Linked DNA regions of Alligator mississippiensis. The protein of the gene in region 1 purifies or fractionates together with the protein of each later gene. This does not show direct contact. Links are inferred from orthologs where the notes say so. Each region holds a gene or a part of one and is shown on either strand. Other genes may lie near its edges. The genes, in order: RPS6KA3 and FGFR2.

What was found.
Region 2: the proteins of RPS6KA3 (region 1) and FGFR2 purify together in Homo sapiens (affinity purification with mass spectrometry; 3 studies listed by BioGRID and IntAct, counting the BioPlex papers as one, with this or other methods). This does not show direct contact. The link is inferred for Alligator mississippiensis from reciprocal best matches to the Homo sapiens genes RPS6KA3 and FGFR2.

The regions. Positions count from the first base shown.
Region 1 is NC_081824.1:318,754,940-318,764,300, forward strand, and holds the start of RPS6KA3 (ribosomal protein S6 kinase alpha-3), read left to right. Parts: upstream 1-5,109; 5' UTR 5,110-5,276; coding exon 5,277-5,348; intron 5,349-9,361. UniProt on the Homo sapiens protein: Serine/threonine-protein kinase that acts downstream of ERK (MAPK1/ERK2 and MAPK3/ERK1) signaling and mediates mitogenic and stress-induced activation of the transcription factors CREB1, ETV1/ER81 and NR4A1/NUR77, regulates translation through RPS6 and EIF4B phosphorylation, and mediates cellular proliferation, survival, and differentiation by modulating mTOR signaling and repressing pro-apoptotic function of BAD and DAPK1.
Region 2 is NC_081829.1:85,690,417-85,700,383, forward strand, and holds the start of FGFR2 (fibroblast growth factor receptor 2), read left to right. Parts: upstream 1-6,054; 5' UTR 6,055-6,139; intron 6,140-9,967. UniProt on the Homo sapiens protein: Tyrosine-protein kinase that acts as a cell-surface receptor for fibroblast growth factors and plays an essential role in the regulation of cell proliferation, differentiation, migration and apoptosis, and in the regulation of embryonic development.

The DNA.
Region 1 (9,361 bases):
ATATAGCCTACTCTAGGCACATCTGCCCACATTCCAATGCAATTCTGTCAAGAGGTGTATAACAGTACAAGTATTCTTTAGCAGAAGTGTATAAATACTTTCATCTTTTTATATTGTCAGTTACAAGTGATGTTCATTTCAAACCTGAGTCATTTTAGTGCAGCTATAACCTTGTTTTCAAAGCTGAGTGAATAGATACAGGGATGGATACACCCAGCTGTAATTTAATGTCATGGGTTTCAAATTGAGGATCTGCCTTTCAGCACCAAGATTCTGCTTGCTGCTCCTCATCGCTGAGGTTTCTGACAACTTTCCAAACGTTAATAACCATAACCTTGCAACATCCCTATGAGACAGGGAAGTATCATCCCCATTGTATCCACCTTAGAACTGAGGCACAAAGAGAGACTAATTCTCATTTCCACCAAGGCCCCTAAAAACTGCTGTGACAGCATAAATTTAAATCCCTCTAACTCTCACTTCAAGACACACTGTTAAGAGCAGCCTAAAGCAGCTTTAATGTAAATGAGAAACTGGGTTAAGAAAAAAAATAATGACTTGCCTCATATCACAAAGGACAACTGTGCATAAGAATTGAATCAAGGTGTCCTGAGAGTAAGACAGACTTCCCCAAACAGTGTAAATCTAATAGAGTCTATTGTCAACTTCCACTTCAATCCTTTTAGCATTTTTCCCATAGAAACAAATTTATTCCCAGCTTTCATCCACAGACTATGGAATGATAATTTCTGTACATTTAAATTCTATCAAGAGTTTCTTGCCTGAGATAATAAAAACCATTGAAAGATATTTGAATTCACTATACATCACTCCAGTTGCAATATCTGAACAACTGAAATTTATTTAGTATTGTAATTTATTTACTTCTTCCTGTCTTACACTTACGAAGCTGTAAGTTATGATGGAGTATGAACTGTAGTGCAACTACAGTTGCATCTAGTGTAGTACTATATGCTTTATAAAAAAGTAAGTTTGAGTGATTACTCTATAAATACTGGAGGAACTTTTCTATTTATATTTTTTAATGTATTTTCCCAAATATTATCACAGGAACCCCCAAAAATATATTCTCTTTAACAGCCTTGTGAGAGAGTCAAGAAGTGTTTTATAAATGTAGCACTATGCTCAGTGGAGGCAGGCTTCTAACCAGGGTGCAATAACCTGAAGTTTTGCCTTTGACTGTAATGAAACTATAATTTCATCCCAGTCTCTCTCTTCCTCCTTGGAGGTACGGCTAGAGTTTTCCAACAAAGACCTCCTTGAATTTATATGTAACTATTATGCTCATTGGTTTTGTTTAAAATATTACTATAAATGAGAATACAAACCACCCTATTCATAGCAGATGTAGCACTAAACATCACCAAAGTGTCAATACTGCCTTACTGCAGTATTCTGTGTCACTGACCATCAGTTAGGTCCCACTCCTTCATCTGCAAGAGTAGAAATAGACAAGTGAGCCATCTAGCAAGTCACTGCCTACCCTCAGTGCAAGATGGCATTGTAGCTTTACTATGGCTGAAGTACCAAAAATGGTGAAGACTTGGTACTTTACATCACGTTGCAATTAATGTTTCTTACATGAAGGTAACCGTACCAGAATACTACCATTTCCATTCCATGGTATTTTCTACATAATACTTGTGAACGCCTCTATGTCAAAATAAAGTACCTAAATTATACAAGGGAGGGAGATGAGGTAGGTAGAGAATGTGACTTACATCATTCTGCTTCTTGTTTGTTGTTGCAGCAGGTAATTTCAGTCTCATAAACTTGCAAATAGTGGTAGTTAGTTGTACTTTCTGCCTTAAAATTGCAAAGAATGGGTGGACAGAAATGTGTTCAAATGAAATGGCAACTGAATATACTTTATAAAAATGGTCTGTGTGAATACAATGCTGTTGCAGATTTTTGCATCAAGAACTGGACCAACAGTAATGAGGTAAGGTGATGGTTTAAATGGCTGTTGTTGCACTGATCTTGTGAGAAAACAATCAAGGCATGATATATAGTTCTGTATTGTTTATTGCTGTTATACCCATTAGTACTTGATATCCTGTTCTTTGTCTTTTTTCTTCTGGATTCACAAAGCATAGAAAAAAGTAAACATGTTGGTAAACCACTGTCTTAGGACACAACTGACTAGACATGCTACTCTCCTCCCTCTCCTTCCTCCTACCCAGACCTCCTTCAAATTGTGAGCTCAGTTTAGGCCAGATGCCAATGGAAGAGGGGAAATGCCAAAGTGTATAGGAGACTGTCAACTCTACATGGCAAGATAGTCTTTGCTAGTTGATCAGCCTGAAAGAGGGGTTGGGTTTTTTTTAGGTTTCACCACATATGAGCTGAGGTGGCAGCTGTAGCTCCTGCTAACTTTTCTCTCATGGGTTGGAATTCTCTGCTGTGTGGCTGTGGATTTCCAGTATAAATAAAGTATTTACACCAGTATAAATAAATATTTACACCAGTATAAATAAAGTAGCTGTAATAAACCAAATTATTCCAGTATATAGGAAAAGAAATGCCTTTCAATAATACATTTAAAACTAGGGAGGGAGGAGTTTGCTCGCTTTTTGAAGATACAGGTGTTATCTCACCCTGGAGATGGGAAGTATTTATTTGTGTTTCAAAGATATTTACAATCACTCTATATTTCAACAGTCTACTCACTGTTCCAGTAGCCAACCTTAAAAAGGAAGGCTTGAGATTGTTAGTGTTCTGGTCAGTTTCTAAGAAACATTCCTCATGATGTACCTAAGCTTAATTACTGTCAAACATTAGTGATTTATTTCTCTTTTCCATTACCTTATCCTGTACTTCAGAGCAATAGTTGGCCAGAGTCAGTCTCTTCCTATTCTAAAAGCAGGGTTCTAGGCAGAAATAAGGGTTTTGTTCGTTAACAAAAATAATCTAATTCTTGTCTGCTTTAGACCTTTCCATAGTCACTTACTTGTGTGTGAAGGCAAAGCATTTGAAAAATGCTACCAAATAGAAGTGTAAGCACATTATACTCAGTATGGTCATATCAGGCCGCATAATCAGCTAAAAGTCAAAGATTATTTTAAGCTGAAGTTGATAGTCAGGGGATAAAACATGTGTGACATCCATTCCCTACACCCTATGAAAATCTGGGAAGACTTTTAAATAACTTGAACTTGCTGGAAATAAACTACTAGTTAAAGTGTAATATTGTTGATCAAATTGTCGTTCAAAGCATTTTTTTCTTTTAAAAATTACTTGTCATTACTCTCATTTCCCTCCCCTTTATTTGCCTAATCAGTAATCACCATTTCCTTCTATCTAGTGATATCTTTTCCTCCCAGTCCTTCCTTTACTCTAACTGCACAATATTTTTCACTTGACTCTTCTCTTAAAAACCCCTTCTTGTCTCTTCCTCTTACATTTGCCTAAGCTTTGGCTGAGTATGCAAGCTGTCTAAGGAGAGTCTAGGAATTTCTAGGTTGTCTATATTAGGATTTTCTGCACTGGTTGTGCAGAAGAGCATAGATGTGTAAGCAAAGGTGTATGAATTGGCTACAAGTGCTACATGATCACAGATGTGTCTGTTACTGTCAGCCAAAGCACAGTTAGTAGAAGTGCTGAACAAAGTTTGCAAAGCCTAGAAACACAGGACTGATTTAATCAGGGGCTGAGTCATCAGAGATATGACTGACATCAAAGCAGGCTTGGGGACAGTCATTTACACAGGAGGCTTAAATGGGAATCAATGGCAATTAGCCACGATTGTTCTCAGGCAAAGTTCTAATTCGGACACTTCTCAGGCACTTAATGCTGGACATTGAGTTTGGTTGACTATCATGTTTGGATCTGACCTGGCACAAAAATACTCTGATACAAATCAACCCAGTTGTGTGTTTTAGCCCAAGAGGAGGATTACAGGCACCAAAGGGGTCTTTTACACAGGAAGCTATTCCTGATGGACTTACTTTATAGAGGTGCCTTTTCCAGAAAAGAAGAGGACCCACACAGGGAATTAACCAGGAAGAGCTACTTCACTTCAAACCTATGCCCTCCCTTAGTCCCAGTAAGCTTCACTGTGCAGAGGAGCCATTAGCTTTCCTGAGGAAATCTTGTGGAGGTAAGAACCAGTCACTCAGAAGCAACACAAGGGGTCTGACTGACTTGCTCCCTGCAAAGGCTGACCAAAAACATCCACTCCCCACAATGACGGCAGGCAGAGAAGTTCACAGCTGACCTGGGGCTCTAGCTGTGCCCCTTATGGATCTGGCTACTCCACCCAGTTGTGGGCTCACATCAGCAAATTGGGCCACAGAGAAAGAAACACAGTCAGCAAATGGAAATATCTCTAGTGCTCCGTTTGGACAAGGCAAGGCTGCTGTCTGTGCCCCCCTACCTACATGCCTCTGAGCATAGGCTTAGGCTGCGCTAATGCTGGGAGTTTTAACGCTTTTTTCTCTGAAAGTGTGGTGTTAGAGGGGTGTCATGGTAGCTTCCAAGGGGTGTCACGGTAGTGTTAAGGGTGGTGTCGGAGGGGGGTCATGGTATCATCATGGTAGTGTTGGAGGGGTGTGATGGTAGCATAAGGGAGGTGGCAGAGGGGTGTCATGGTAGTGTCATGGTAGCATTAGAGGGGTGTCATGATAGTGTAAGGGGAGTGCTGGAGGGGTGTCACAGTAGCCTAAGGGTAGTGGCAACTCTGATGGCCCACAAATGACTTGAGGAGAGGCAACGTCCGGCAGGCTGCCTGTCTTTTGCCCAACCGGACTGACTAGGAGTAACAACTACCAGGCGACTTTAAGGACCGCCCCAGGCGGGGCTGGGCGGAACCGGACACACTCGGACCCTGCGCGAGCGGTGTGCACACAGCCAGCAACGCCTCTCCCCGCCCCCACAGGACGCCCCGGGCCCCTCCCCCCACCCCCGCCCACGCAGGAACGGAACTCCCCCCGCCCCCCTACTGCCCGCCACTGACTCCGCCCCCCGCTACCTGCCGGCGTCGCGGATTGGCCGCTACAGCCCCGCCCCGCTGCTGACGTGCACAGCCTCGGTTTGACGGGCAGGTATGGCCCGGGCGCCATGTTGGTGAGCGGGAGCGGGAGCGGGAGCGGAAGCGGTGCGGGGGGAGGGCGGCTCTGCCTGGCAGGAGCGGGACGCGGCGGTAGCAGTGGGACCCGCAGCCGGGGCCGGGGCAGCCCGCGGTCTTGCCCGCTCCTCCCCTGCCGTGTCTTCGTGCTCGGCCGGTTGGGAGCCGGGGCGCGCGGGCGGGCGGGAAGATGCCGCTGGCGCAGCTGGCGGACCCCTGGCAGAAGATGGCTGTGGAGAGCGCGGCCGAGAGCGGAGCCGAGGTACCGCCCCCCCCTTGTGTCCGTGTGTGTCCCGCTCCCCTCCTCTTTCTCTTGACCCTGCGCCCGCACTTCCCGCCGGGCCCCCGCGCCGGACGAGGGGGAGCGCCCCTTGCCGCCAGCCCGTGGGGAGTGGGGCCGCGCGGACTTAGTAACGTGAAGCCGCGGGGCTGGGGCTGGGGCCGGGGCCGGGGCCGGGCGGCGCTGGAGGTGCCCCTATTCTGCCTCGCGCCCAGACTTGGCGGCGCTCCAAGCCCTTCCGGCTCGGGAGGCTGGGGAGAGGTTTCTCCCCCGGCTCGCCGCTGTCCTTGGGTTACTTCAGAGGAGACGGCTTCGTTGGCTGGCAGGCGGATCTGCTGTTCCCGTTTCTCAAGCCTAGTTTAAAGTACCTGTCTGTCACTCTCGGGGTGTTTTCTCCCCGCACGGGAGTGGGGTAAAATTTTCCAGCTGAAAGGTAACTGCTGGGAGCGCTGGGGAAACCGCTCTTTATGTCTGGTGAAGACTTAGAGTTGGTGAAGAGTCGTTTTAATCTCCCTCGTGTAGGGTGGTCCTTTTGACTGGAAACCAGTTTGCCTCTAGCATATATGTGAAATTTGTGGGCATATTTTAGAAACGCACCTTGCAAAAGGAGAACAAGGTTCTTTGGGTGAATCTGATATCTTTTATTAAACCAAGTGTGTGTGTGTGTGTGTGTGTGTGTGTGTAATAAAACTTTTACAAAAGGATACATTATATATCTACACACACACGTAATATGTACATGTATATAAAATCAGTTTTAAAGGCCAATGGGACTATACTGATTTGCAACAATGGAGAAGATTTAGTATACTAAATTTATTTCTAGTATTCCATCTTTTAAAATTGCTACCCCGTAATTTCATATTATATTAATTGTCAAGACTTGTATGTATATACGTACATACATGTGTGTGTATATGTACAAATGTATCCTTTTGTAAGAGTTGTTTCTAGAACTTGCCCACATCCTCAATCCTAAATTCAAAATATGCTCTGTTTTTAAAGATTTGACATTCTTCTCTTTTTTTAATAGAAAATGCCTGTAACAATTCCTTGAATTCAGTATATCCTGCTGTTTCTTGACTTGATTGATTGATTGATTGATTTTCCAAATGCTCAGGTTAATCAAGGACCTCAACCAGTGACCTAAATACTTACTCCATGTTTTCAGTTCCCACAAATTAACCTTTATCAGGGGCACTGTGCACTTCTAATTGCAGCATCAGAGCCATGGTCAAGGCTTCTACGTGAAAAACATAAGAAGTGCCATACTAGGCCACTAGCCTGTCTCCAACACTGGCAAAAGCTGATGCCTTAGAGCAGTAGTTGTCAACCCCAGGTGCCACAGGAAGTATAGGAAGATAAGCAGGTAAGGGCAGGCTGAGGCCCTCCCTGCGTGGCTGTTCCCCCCACCTCGATTGCATGGCCCTGCTGCAAGGACATAAACACTGTAATAAATACACTAGTTTTTGAAATGGTGTGCTGCAAAATTCTTGAAGCTATGAGGGTTGCCTCAAGTGTAGCAGGGTTGGGAGCCACTCCTTTAGAGCAGCGGTTTTCAACCTTTTTTTTGTTGTACCAGGACCCATTTGTAAATATCAATGGCCTGTCCCGACCTAGTGCTTCTCACTCCTGACCCACTAGCCCCAGCCCCCCAGTGTGTGGGGCAAGGGGGTGGGGTGGGGGCCCCAAGCAGCCCTTTGCAGGCTATAACTCTGGCAGCCTGCAAGGGGAATGCCACCATTATTCACACTTTTCTCCTTTAAAGGAAAATAATTTTTAAAGTTTGTTCATGACCCTTTCATATATTCTTGTGACCCCTTTTGAGTAATGCTGCTTTAGAGGAAGAATGAACTGGGCATATCTAGAGTGATCCATGCCCTATTCATCACACTCCCTAGCATCCACCATCCTTGGTTTAGAGATGCCAGAGGATCCATCTCTGACTGCTCTGTTTAACAGCTATTAATAGATTTATTGTCCATGAATTTTTGATCCTGCCTGAGCTGTATGCCTCTACAAACTTGTGGTAGATTTTTGGCCCCTGTGGAGCAACATTATGATTTGGCCTCTGTAGAGGTACATGAACTCTCTCATTAACAACTTTTGTAAAACACCACTGATGTCTCAATAAACTTACTATTTCATAGAGATGCACTAAGTCCTAAAGTATTCAGGTCTGGACATTTGTACTGATAGAGGTCCCTGCGGTATAAACTGATTCATGCAGGCCAAGGTGCTGTTCCAATGAATTAGTAATAGCAGACCTTTCTCTTGCTTTAAATTATACCATTACTGTGGATAGTGGTTCTTCTTCTAAGAGGAAATATATACAACTGAAAAAGCTTGCAATACAAGCATAAATTTATACAGTATCAAAGATGAACTCCTAGGTTGATTTTTTTTCTACAGCAAGTAATAAAGCAGGGCGCACTGATCTTGTTTATGGTCTTGGCGGCTATATGATATGAAATTCTGGGGTAGCAATTTTTAAAGAAGCGCTATTAGAAATAATTTGGTATACTAAATGTTCTCCATTGTTGCAAATCAGTATAGTCCCATTAGCCTTCAAAGCTGTGATAATTGACATCACCTTAGGTTTTGCCTCAAGTTCCTTAACTGGTATCTGTCTTAAAAAGCAGGGTTTATAGTGCAGATGCTGCATGTGTGAAATAGGCAAAGTGGTAAAAAACTTCAAATATTGGCATATAACTATAGGCATGTAAGTTCATATTTTAGAAACCTTATTTTTTCAGAAACATTATGCTTCTAGCATTGGTCTTTACTAGCCAACATCAGGGGTTTAAATATGGGTTTGTGTGTCTAGCTGTGTGTGTCACTGAGGTTATGAATACTAAAGCAACTGAGATGAAGAGGAACAGTCATAGCATTGTTATGTTAAAGATGTACCTGGTATGGTGTGGTTCTGGTGCTTATGGCTCTGTCTTGCTAATATTTGTGCGTGTCTTTAACTTGAAATTTGGTCGTGCTGAAAGCAAGGTTGATTCAATGCACTGACAGGATTGGGTCTGGGATTGATGACAGGATTGCCATCTGAAGTAGTCATGTTCTGGGTGTAATTACCTCTGAACTTATTTTGCATATGGTGTACTTCTGGGGAATAAGCTGAAGGAACAGACATCACATCTGCAACACAACTTAAAGCAGGGGAAAGGACAGAAAATATCAGTAGAATTGTCTAAATGAAATGTGTCTGTTAACTTTGAAGGTTATTCAATACTTTACCAGCTGGGTATGATACTAAGGGTTTTCAAAACACTGTTGTCAGTACATTTACCATAGCTCTAGAAGTTTGTTCCCATGTGATATTTGTGGAGTTTGCTTCTTGCATACAGATTTATGTCAAATGAAACTTCTTTTAGTGTGGTTCGCTTCACTTTATTATAATAATTTTCTGTATATTATACATCAGTAATCTGATGCATAATATATAGTATACATCTATTCCAGTGAGATGAGCTTGTTGAAGAAAGGCTTATGGATTTTGATTCTATCAGTAAAACAGATGTCATAGCTATGTGAATGCTGGTTTAGGAAATATACTCATCTGGAAAGAAAAATACTGAAGCACTTTACTGTAATTTTACTTGGGTGGTAAGGGGTAAAAAGTCCTGTTTCAATTAACCAAATTTTTGGTAAACATAAAATCTGCCATCCATTTAGTATTTCATGCAAGTGATTTCATTCTTCTGTTTTTTAATTTACTAACATTATTGTACACTTTGTAGTACCATGATTCTCTTTCATATGCAGAATACAAAATAGGGTTTATCAAATTACTCCCTTAGTTACAGTGTAACACAGGTAGTTTTAAATTTGTCAATGTTTAACTGCCTTAAAGTTCCTAAGTAGTATTTTTCTTCCCAGATTGATTTCCAGCATGAAATAGATGGTATTCTGAGCTGTTTACAGGAATATTTTTCTTTGCTGTGACTGTGATCTGTCATACTAACTGAAGAACAGTTTTCATTTGA
Region 2 (9,967 bases), on another chromosome or scaffold:
CACTAGTCGCCCATGACTATGTACTGGTTTGATGTTTGGAAGAAACTGCAGATTTATTTAAGTAAATCAAGTCACTGCTAGTAATTAAATATTCAATCTTAACAATTAGTTTAGAAATCTTTCATAAACAGAGATAAACAAGCTATATTAGTTATTAGGGGTGCGCAAAATGGGTCATATTTGATTCAGATTTGGCCTGAATCAGGGACAGTGATTCAATTCATTGATTCAAATCACTGATCCCAATTCGATTAGGCTGAATCTGAATCTGAAGATTTGATGCTGATTCGGAGAACTGGCGATTCGGCCATAGATACAGCTTTAAATGTTGTGTACATACCTGGTATCTTGAGGTATGCAGAAAAAACCTTTAAAGCTGTGTCTATATCCGAATTGCTGAATCTTTCTGAATCTCTCCGAATTGACGGCCAGTGGCCATAAGTTGACTGAGGATAGATGCAGGCACTACTACATCAGGAGGCACTACTTCATAGTCAGGGTGGCTAGGATCTGGAACCAACTTCCAAGGGAAGTGCTGCTCGCTCCTACCCTGGGGGCCTTCAAAAGGAGGCTAGATAATCACCTAGCCGGGGTCGTTTGACCCCAGCACTCTTTCCTGCTCAGGGCAGGGGGTCGGACTTGATGATCTGTTCAGGTCCCTTCTGACCCTGCCTACTATGAAACTATGATTTGATTCAGAGAGTTTAAAGGGTCTCCTGATTTGATTTGGATTTGGAGATTCAGCCACTGAATTGGGCCGAATCTCCAACAAATCGAATCAGGGACCGAAGCTTTGCACAGCCCTATTAGTTATGTCATACAGGCCATATGTATCCATTCCTCTATAAGAGTGTTTTTTGAGCTTGCTTCATTTGCAGACCCCTAAAAACTTTTGAATGGAGGTGTAGACCCATTTGAATTGTAAATTTGGGTATTCACATACTTTTGATTGATCATAGTTATCTTTCATGAACCACTTATACATAGTCTGCAGACCATCAGGGGTCCACACACTACAGCTTGAAAAGCACTGCTCTATATTGTTTTTTTCTGTTTGGTTTTGATTCAGAAAATTTTCCAAAAAACCTGAAGATAAGTGTGTGGGATGGTAGTGCCATGAATGACCTTCACTATGCCTTGGCTCACTATCAGAACACTTTTTAATAAAAAGCCAGAGACATTAACACTGAAGGCACAAGGTAACAATATGTCACCAAAAAAAGTTAATTGCAAAACTCCTGTTAACTTGGACAGAACCAGGATTTCATCCACAATTATAGTCAGCAGAGCCTCATGTGGGATAATCTTTAATAAAGAACAGTTGTAACAGTTCCTTTGAGTGCATTCATTTAAAGTATTTTTTTTCCAGGATCTGTGGAGATTTTGGGGACACAAAGTGGGATCTTTGTGTTTGGAATATTTCTCACCTGTTGTGGGCACTGAGGGCAAACAATAATACTCTGTCTTCGATTACCATTGGACAAGCCAATATAATGGGAATAGGATCAGACCCACAGTGAAGATGGTGGCAAAATTCCCACTGATCTCATTGGGAGCTGGATCATGGTGTATATGCTCTTTAAGATATTTGTGGGAAAAATGCCTACTGTAAAAAAGGGAAGAGAAGAATGAAGAATAGCATGAGTTTCAAAATGGTTTTGTGGTTTAAATGAAGCCAGGTCCAAAACCTACTGAATAAATAGAAACCCCTTGGTCACCTTTTCTCCTTGGTTTGTCTAAAGCTGTACATACTTTTGCATTTTTCAGAATTATTATTTCAATTAATTATTCATCTTAGAAAATACCCCTTCATCTGATTCTACACTTGAGTCAGATCTCCTAAGTGTGCTGCTACTTATGAATAAGATGCTGGAGTTTAAGTCAGAAAATAAATGTATTCATGTTCCACAAGTGTCTTTGTATTTCCTTCCACGACATCCTCCTTCAACTAATTCACAAAACCACTGTTCTTGTCCTCCTTCAGTCCAAAATTGAGATAGCTTATGTTGCATCATCCACGGGAAATCAGCCAAAAAATGACATGAACTCTTCAGAGCCATCTTTCTGTGGCTTGTAGAGTGTAGAATAAGAGGGACATGATCCTGATGGAGTCTCTGGATGTTGCTGTAGTACAAAGTATATAATGAGCCTCTGCAACTTCCAGCATCTCACAAATACTAGACACGAGTTTCTGAAAATATCCATGGAGTGGAAGGTTGTGAAAAATAAATTATGTTTTGGATTTGAAATGTATTGTGGAAAAGGTTGAGATTATTTAAAAAAAAAAATGCTCCTAATAAAAGAGAGAGGATAGTTTGATGGTTCCCAAAAGTGGTACTAAGTTAATGATTCTCAAATTTTTTAGTCACATACCCCCTTTTTTTTTAAGTTTGTTCTACATGCCCCCAATTCCATGCTATGGATAATAATAATAATAATAATAATAATAATAATAAGATGACATAACATTTTATGTCACTATAATAACCACACTGTAACATAAGAGCAACATGAGAGATATTGTAGAATTGATTTTTTTTTCCTGCCCCCTCCCTTGTCCTTCATTTATTTTCTCTTTCCCCTCTTTGCTTTCCCATTTCTTCCTCACATGTTCCCTCTCAAAGTTTTTCTTGTTGCCCAGTTTGAGAATCACTTATCTAGTGATTATCTAGTGAAGTTGTTATCGTCTGACAGATATTTGCAGTTTACATAACCTGACTTTGGTCTCAGGCCAATTTTCAGTTGACAGATGTGTAATACGCAACAGCAGGCAGCTGAAAAGCTCAGGAGTGATTGAAAATGGAGGGTAAGACATGTAGAGGGTGCCCCCTGTGTCTGGTCTGAGTGTGGCTGGTGGGGCAGGATGGAGAGGTTTGCTGTGCACTGGTCAAAGTTTTTTCAGTCCTCTGGACAACAAGAAAAGACGTTCAGTCTTTGGGGCTTTCAGGAAAGCAGTCTTTGCAAGCACTAAACTCACATGAAATTATAAGGGATAACACCCTTTCTCTGGAAATGTCCCGAGTAGCATTCAAAAAGCAAAGATTGGATTAATATGCCCTTCACAAGGCAATGAGCATAAAGAATACAGACTCCCGAGAAAACGATTGCTTAGGATTTTCAAAAGAACTTGCTAGAAGCCACAATGCATTTTGGAAGGAACAGGGATCATATTTCAGACTTGGATTTTAAACACACGTTGTGACAGCCCATGGCAGACATGCCAGGAACTTCATTCCATAAATCACATTTCTTGAAAAGGAGGCCTCTGTACTCAGTAGTAGTAGCATTTATTTCTTCTTTTTCTTGGCTGCTTCTCTTGGAAGTGGTGTAAAGACTTAACCCTAGTTAGGAGGACCTGCAGAGACATAATGTAGTATGTGAGAGCTCCAACTTTTGCCTTGTTAAATGAAACTTAGTCTATATAAACACGATTGGAGGAAAAAAAAAAAAAAGACCCGGTAATGTTGCAAACATGGGGATTCAACAGTGTACTGTTTTCATTTAGTTTTTTTGGCAGCATTTTTAACAAGAATATGTTTTTGTGACTCTTGAATCAAACACATCATCTTGGATGGGCTACAGCAGCAATAAAAGCATCAAAATATCTCTATTTCTAGCAGAGGTTTTGCTGGAAACATCTTACCAGATATAGGATTAATAATGTATCCATAATAATATTTTAATAATTTGCTTAGAAATTGATTAATTCTAACTTTCCTTATTCCTTGGCTTAACCCTTTGGATTCTTGTTTTCTCAAACAGACATCCATTATATATAACACTAGATATAGATATAGATATAGATGTGCGTGTGTGTGTCTGTATTACCTGCTGGCAATTGAACTCCTCTGTTTATTTATGGAGCAGGTCCATCAGGGCAAGGTGTATGCTATACTTCCTGACATTACCAAAGTACCAGGTCCTGTCCAGAAGACTGTTCTGCAAAGGAGCGGAGATGGCCACAGTTTGGTTTTCATGCCTATTCATTCACAGGAAGAGATAACAGGAAAAGTTCCTCTGAGTCCAAGTCCAGTCCTGCTATCACAGGCAAACTACGCCATGCAGTTCCTTTTGTACATCTCTAAAACTGGATGGATATCTTGTTTCCACACCTCATACTGGCAGGCTCTTTCAGTCTGAAACCTTCTTCTCTAATGGTTTGAAACCTTCTTCTGGTCTCCAGCTAAATTTAGTCCTAGTCCATTTATTCTGACTGTGTAGTCCTTATCCCCGATGTAGTAACAGAAAACAGTTGTATCCCTTTACAGTTCTCATTTTGCTAAGATGAACAAGGCAGGCACTTTTGTTTTCCCCTCATATGGCAGATTCTCCTTAAGCCCCAGCATCCTAGGAACCCTTCTCTGCACCTGTCCCAGCTTGAGTTTATTTTCCTGAACACGAGTACCCAAAATCACACATGGCAGTCTAGATGAGGCCCCATCAGTGCCTTGGCATTAATAGGTCTTTGTTTCTGCTGAAAATCCACCATTTGATACATCTTCTATTGCCTCTTTTTCTCAGCCACATCACATTGACCACCTGTCACTGGGGAGTATTACCCAGATTTGTCTTCTCTTGTTGACCGTCTGTCCACTGGGATCTGGAGTGGAAGTGCCACTTTATTTCATGACATAAGCTACTCAGCAGGAATGGCTTGGAAAGTAACAATGGTTTGTGATTATTGATCCTGGGCTGGATTCAAAATGACTGAGAGAGGAAAAGCTCAGTGGGTGAGATCCTCTGCTCCACTTTAAACACTTTGTCATATTAAAGGGTCTAAAGTTATACAAAGTGGCCCTAACAGCCAAGATTTTAGTTGCGGTGAGGATTTGTCTCAGTGTAGGCACTATGAAAGACACCCTTAATTAAGGCTGCTCTTAGAGGACTTTTTCACATGCTGGGCTGGCAAGATAGAGGGAAACACACTGGAGACAGAAATGTATGTTCAAGCTGGGGCTGCAGTATGCAGCATGGTTCTGGTTCTGAGTAGTGCTTGTAGTGGCTCCTGTAATATAGATAAATGCCTGTGGGGGGTGCAAAGTATGCCAAGGACCTCTCCTACCCACTGGAACGTGCCTGGAACAACCCTTTTCCACCGGCCGTGAATTCTTAGAAGTGCAACAAAGCATCTCACCCAGCATCTCTACTAATTCTCAGAGCTGCTGGATCTCTCAGTTCTGTCTCTTTTTCCCTCTATAAATGTGTCTCAGTCTTTCATTCGTCACAGTGCTGGGCCAAGACGCACATCTTTTTTAAATAACATGGACCAGAAAATGTGGAAATTTTGAAGTCGTAGCTCCCTTGGAGAGAGCCAAAACATGTTTACTTTTTTATATTGTTTGATAATAAAGAGCAGAGCATGAAAACAAAATGCAGCTTTGTCAAGAATGTTGATTATATAAAAATCAATATGTAACTGGGGCGCTTACAACCGAACATATCCATTGTCCTTCTTGGTTTAAAACAAAAGGATTGCAGCAGCAAGACCTTGCTTAACTTGGGGTCAACTTCTAGTTGCAGCATGCAATAATAACAATCCAAGGTATGTACAATTTACAATACGGTATATGTACACTGGTATATACTCCAAGTAAAGATTCTGCTTTCATCAGTAAACCTTATCCTGGTTTCAAGGAGAGGTTAATTCTGGGGATGCAGATCATATCTGTCCTTGAGCCCATTAGTATGGCTATGCAGATGGCCATACCTTAACCCCCACTGTAGCCAAGATCTAACCCTCAAAAATCAACTACCTCTTTCCTTGCAGAAATCCAGAGGCCTCTCCCTACCCTTCACCCGAGAATCTGGGGGCTTTTCATATGTTAATCAGTAAACATTGTTGTAAATTCGATTGCTGCAATATATACAGGGAGATGGCTTGAAAGTATTGTTTTGCAGAGCATTACTCTGTGGTGTACAGTTCATCTTAAGGCACTCAGTGAGTTAACTTTGCATTGTGATATCATTTCTGAGTTACAAGTCAGCCTCTTTGTATGAATGCCACCCACACAATAGGAGAGAACTGTCAAGCTGCAACATGCAAGAGACACCTAGACACACCTATTGAAGCCATGCTTTGCCTGCCTTGGTGTGTTGCATTCCTTTAGCCTTCGCATATCGAATGGAAAAAAGCAATCAGGTACCGTACACTTTATTTGGAAATTTTCTCTGCCAAACGCAATAGACGTCCTCTGTACTGCAATGTATAGACAATCATAGGAACAGCATCTTTGTAGCACATTTTCCTGCCGATTCATAACTGCATACCGTACATCAGTTTGTATGTTATGCTCATGGTGAAAACAGCTGCTTGCATGTATATCTCGTGCCACAGTGTTTTGCCTTAGCATTTTGATTTAATCATACTTTATGCTATGTGTTTTATTTTATTAGCTGAGCAGTGGGAAATGCAAGGAAAATGTGGGTTTGATATTGTTTTTCTGTGCAAGTTCCAGATGGACAAATCCTTTAGTAACAGCACTGGGTTGAGCACTGTACTGGAAGCCGGGAACTACTTTGGTTTATTTCTGAAGCCGTCTTACATTTGCTGGGTGGCCTTGGACAAGCCATAACCCTGTGTTTGTTTCCTTAACTTCAGGATGAGAATAATACTTTTCTTCCTTATAAGGGTACTGGACAATTTAGTTTAAAAAAAAGTGTTGCTGAGGTATTTCACTCATACATGTATAGATGGAGTTAGAGGCATAATTATATTATTTGCTCCTGGGTGTTAAAGTCATACAAACAGGAGGGGAGATGGTATTTCAAAAAGCAGCAACTCCGACTGGAACATAGAGTCATGGTAGACAACCAGCTGCAGTTACAATCTGGTGCCTGAGAGAGCTAAAACACTTTTTGGAGATAAAACATGGGGAGGCAGAAGTAGGAAAGTGATAGTACTGCTGTACATGACATCAGTGAGACAGCTGCCAGAAACCTGTCCAAGTGTGGTTTCATTTTAAAAAGAGTATTGGCAAATTGGAAAGGTTTCAGTAAAGAGTTACCACAGTGATCTGGGTCCTGGGAAACCTGCCTTACAGTGACAACTAAAGAAGCTCAATTTGTTGAGTTTGTCTAAAAGCTGCCTATGTAAGGAAACTTGGGTACAGTAAGCTATGGTATGAATCTACAGTGCACAGGATACATTGAACTAACTCTTTGAGGACACCCTTAGTGGACATCAGACTATGTCACATGTTTCTGTGCAGACCAGCCCTTTGACAAAGTACTTTGATTGTGGTCTAAAAGGTACCTACACAGGAAAGAGACTTGTGATAGTAAATGGCTCAGTAGCATTGAAAAGACATAAGAAAACTAAAGTTGGTCAAACTTAGAATAGGAATTTGGAATAAAATTGGAGTAGGAATGAGGAATAAGGTTCATATTCCTGTTAGGATAATTGACTACTGGAACAGTTTATATAGGGAGGGGAAGGATTCTCTGTTGCTTAAAGTGTTAAATCTAGATTTAACATTTTTCTGAAAGAGACAGCTTGACCAGAAGTTAGTTGAGGTGGCAGCTACTGGAAGAAGTTTTTTGGGTTGTGTTATGCAGGAGGTCAAATTAGATGACTGAATTGAAACTTCTGGCCTGAAAAATCCATTAAAATACTAGGTTTAAGATGTTATAGTGAAGTATCACTTTCCATGATGGCTTGAATCTTTCACTTATGGTTTAGTTAAACCTCTTACATGAAGAAATGGGCAAATAAATACGGTATACTTGTGGTGAAAATAGATTTCCCAATTTGTAGTGTTTGTGATCACCCCTTCCCCCTTCCCATTTTCCCTAATTGCCTCTCTGTGAACTTAAATGTTCCTCACTTAGAAGGAATACACCACAAACTCCTCTAAAGCTTTCTGTCACCCTTTTCTTCCATCTTTCTCATATAGGAGGTTGGATCCCAGGTTGGATCTTAGTAAGGTATCATGGTGGACAGTAGGTCACTAGGATATGTCCTGGATAAAGTAGCATAGTCCAATATACTTCAGAACTCCATTCTGTTCATCCTCCTGCAGAAAATGTTTGTAGTCATGGAAGGCATCTTAACTGTGAACATATTTTCCTATTGCAAAATTTGTCCATGTGTTTAAGATTCAGAGGAATGCAAAACGATTTAATGCTAGTTTCTGCAAGTTATTTAGGGCATGAGGTTTTTTTGACTTCCTTGACTTTCTGTGTCATGTAGTATATACATACACTTTCTGAAAGTCACTATAGCTGCTGTAATGTAGACTTTGGCTGCAGTATTTTTACACTCCACCAAGTGCTAAACACCAGAATAGTCCTTGGAGCCATGAGCAACTTGATGGTTGGAAAGAACAGAGTTGAAAAACACAGTATGTTACTGAATGTCTGGAAACCTGTTTTGTGCCCAGGTGGCTTACAGCATTGTTAGGTTACAATTATGTGGGGAGGGAAATTTTTGACAGAAAAGGCCTGATTGTTATATGTATTTTTTTCTTCCTATAAACAGTGGCAATGCAAAGGGGTGCATGTGTGTGCATGTGCACCCCCTGAGATCAGCCGTGCACTCCCTGGAAGCACCAGCCACAAAACCGGAAGTGCCAGCAGAAGTTCACTTCCAGTTTTGCTGCTGGCTTGGCAATTGGCTGCTGGGGGGCCACCCCTGCTCCTGGTTCAGAGTCGGCTGCTGGGGGTCGGCAATTGGCCATGGGAGACACCCCCCTCATCGGTGATCTGGTGCCCCCCAGACTCAGGAGGCACCAGTCGCCCATGCCCATAGAAGTATAATTCTTTAGACTCTAAAGTGAAAATCATGATTCTTCCTCTGTGTGTATCTAATCAGTCATCTTATTACCTCTTAGGACAAACACTCCACTTTCTGTTGGTTTTTCTCATACAGTTGTCATGACCAGCTTCATGTACACTGTTGGGTGTTTCTACAGGGAAAATATGAAGACACATGAAACCCCTGTTTAAAATGTCCGTTTACTTTTTTTTCCTCTCTTATTAATGACAGTGGTGAGTGAATGTATACACTAGCTGTGAATTGTCAAATTTAATTGGGTTGTATATGAATGATGACTCTTGTTTTAATGCTCTGGAATTAGCTGATAGATAAGAAACTGCTTTCTGGTAATCTGTGATGGTTCTAGCATTTCCTGTGATACAAACTCTATGATACAGAAGTTTATTACTTCTACAAGCAAGTCTGATTAACCCTTAAACTTGTTCTCCTCTACTTAAGCCATGAGTCTACTTTAGTCATGTTGGCTGCTTACACACTTAAACCACCCCCACCCTCAAAAAAATCGCACTTTAAATTCAGCGCACCCCCAAGCCAAGCCCAGTTCATGCCCAGAAGAGGTGTCACATTAGTTGAACCCAGCTCACCCAACATCTGTATAAATCAGGTACTTCAGTGGAGCTTTTTTGGCATTTCTATCTAATAGCTGATTGAATCAGCTATTAGATAAAAGTGTCAAAAAGTCCTCATGAAGTATATGATCTATACAGATGCTGTGGAGCCAGGTTGAACTGATGTGCTGCCTCTTCTGGTAAAGCACTTTTTTGTCATCTCTGTCAGCAGCCATTATGCATGAGATATTATGTGGCTTGCTCATTTGTGAAGTGGAAATGTCAAAAAGCAATATTTTGTTTTCTAGATTAGTCCTAGGAAAGGGACCTTGTTCTTTAATATAAAGCAGTGATTATAAACCAGGGTGCCAGGCTACTCTGGGGTTCTGCAAAATCTTTTGAAGGGTGCTGCAAAATCTGAGGAGTTAAGCAGATCTGAGAAGATAAGTGCAGATTTAGACTTGTCCCTGCCTGACCGCTGCCCTGCCTCTATTGCCTGGTTCCTCTGCAAGGAGGTAAGTACTGTAATAAATTGTTTTTTGAAATGGGATGTAATTCCATTCACAAAAGTTGAGGGGTGCCTTGAGTCAAACGGGGGGTGCCTCACGTCTAAAAAGTTTGAGAACCACTGTGACAGGGTGGCTGA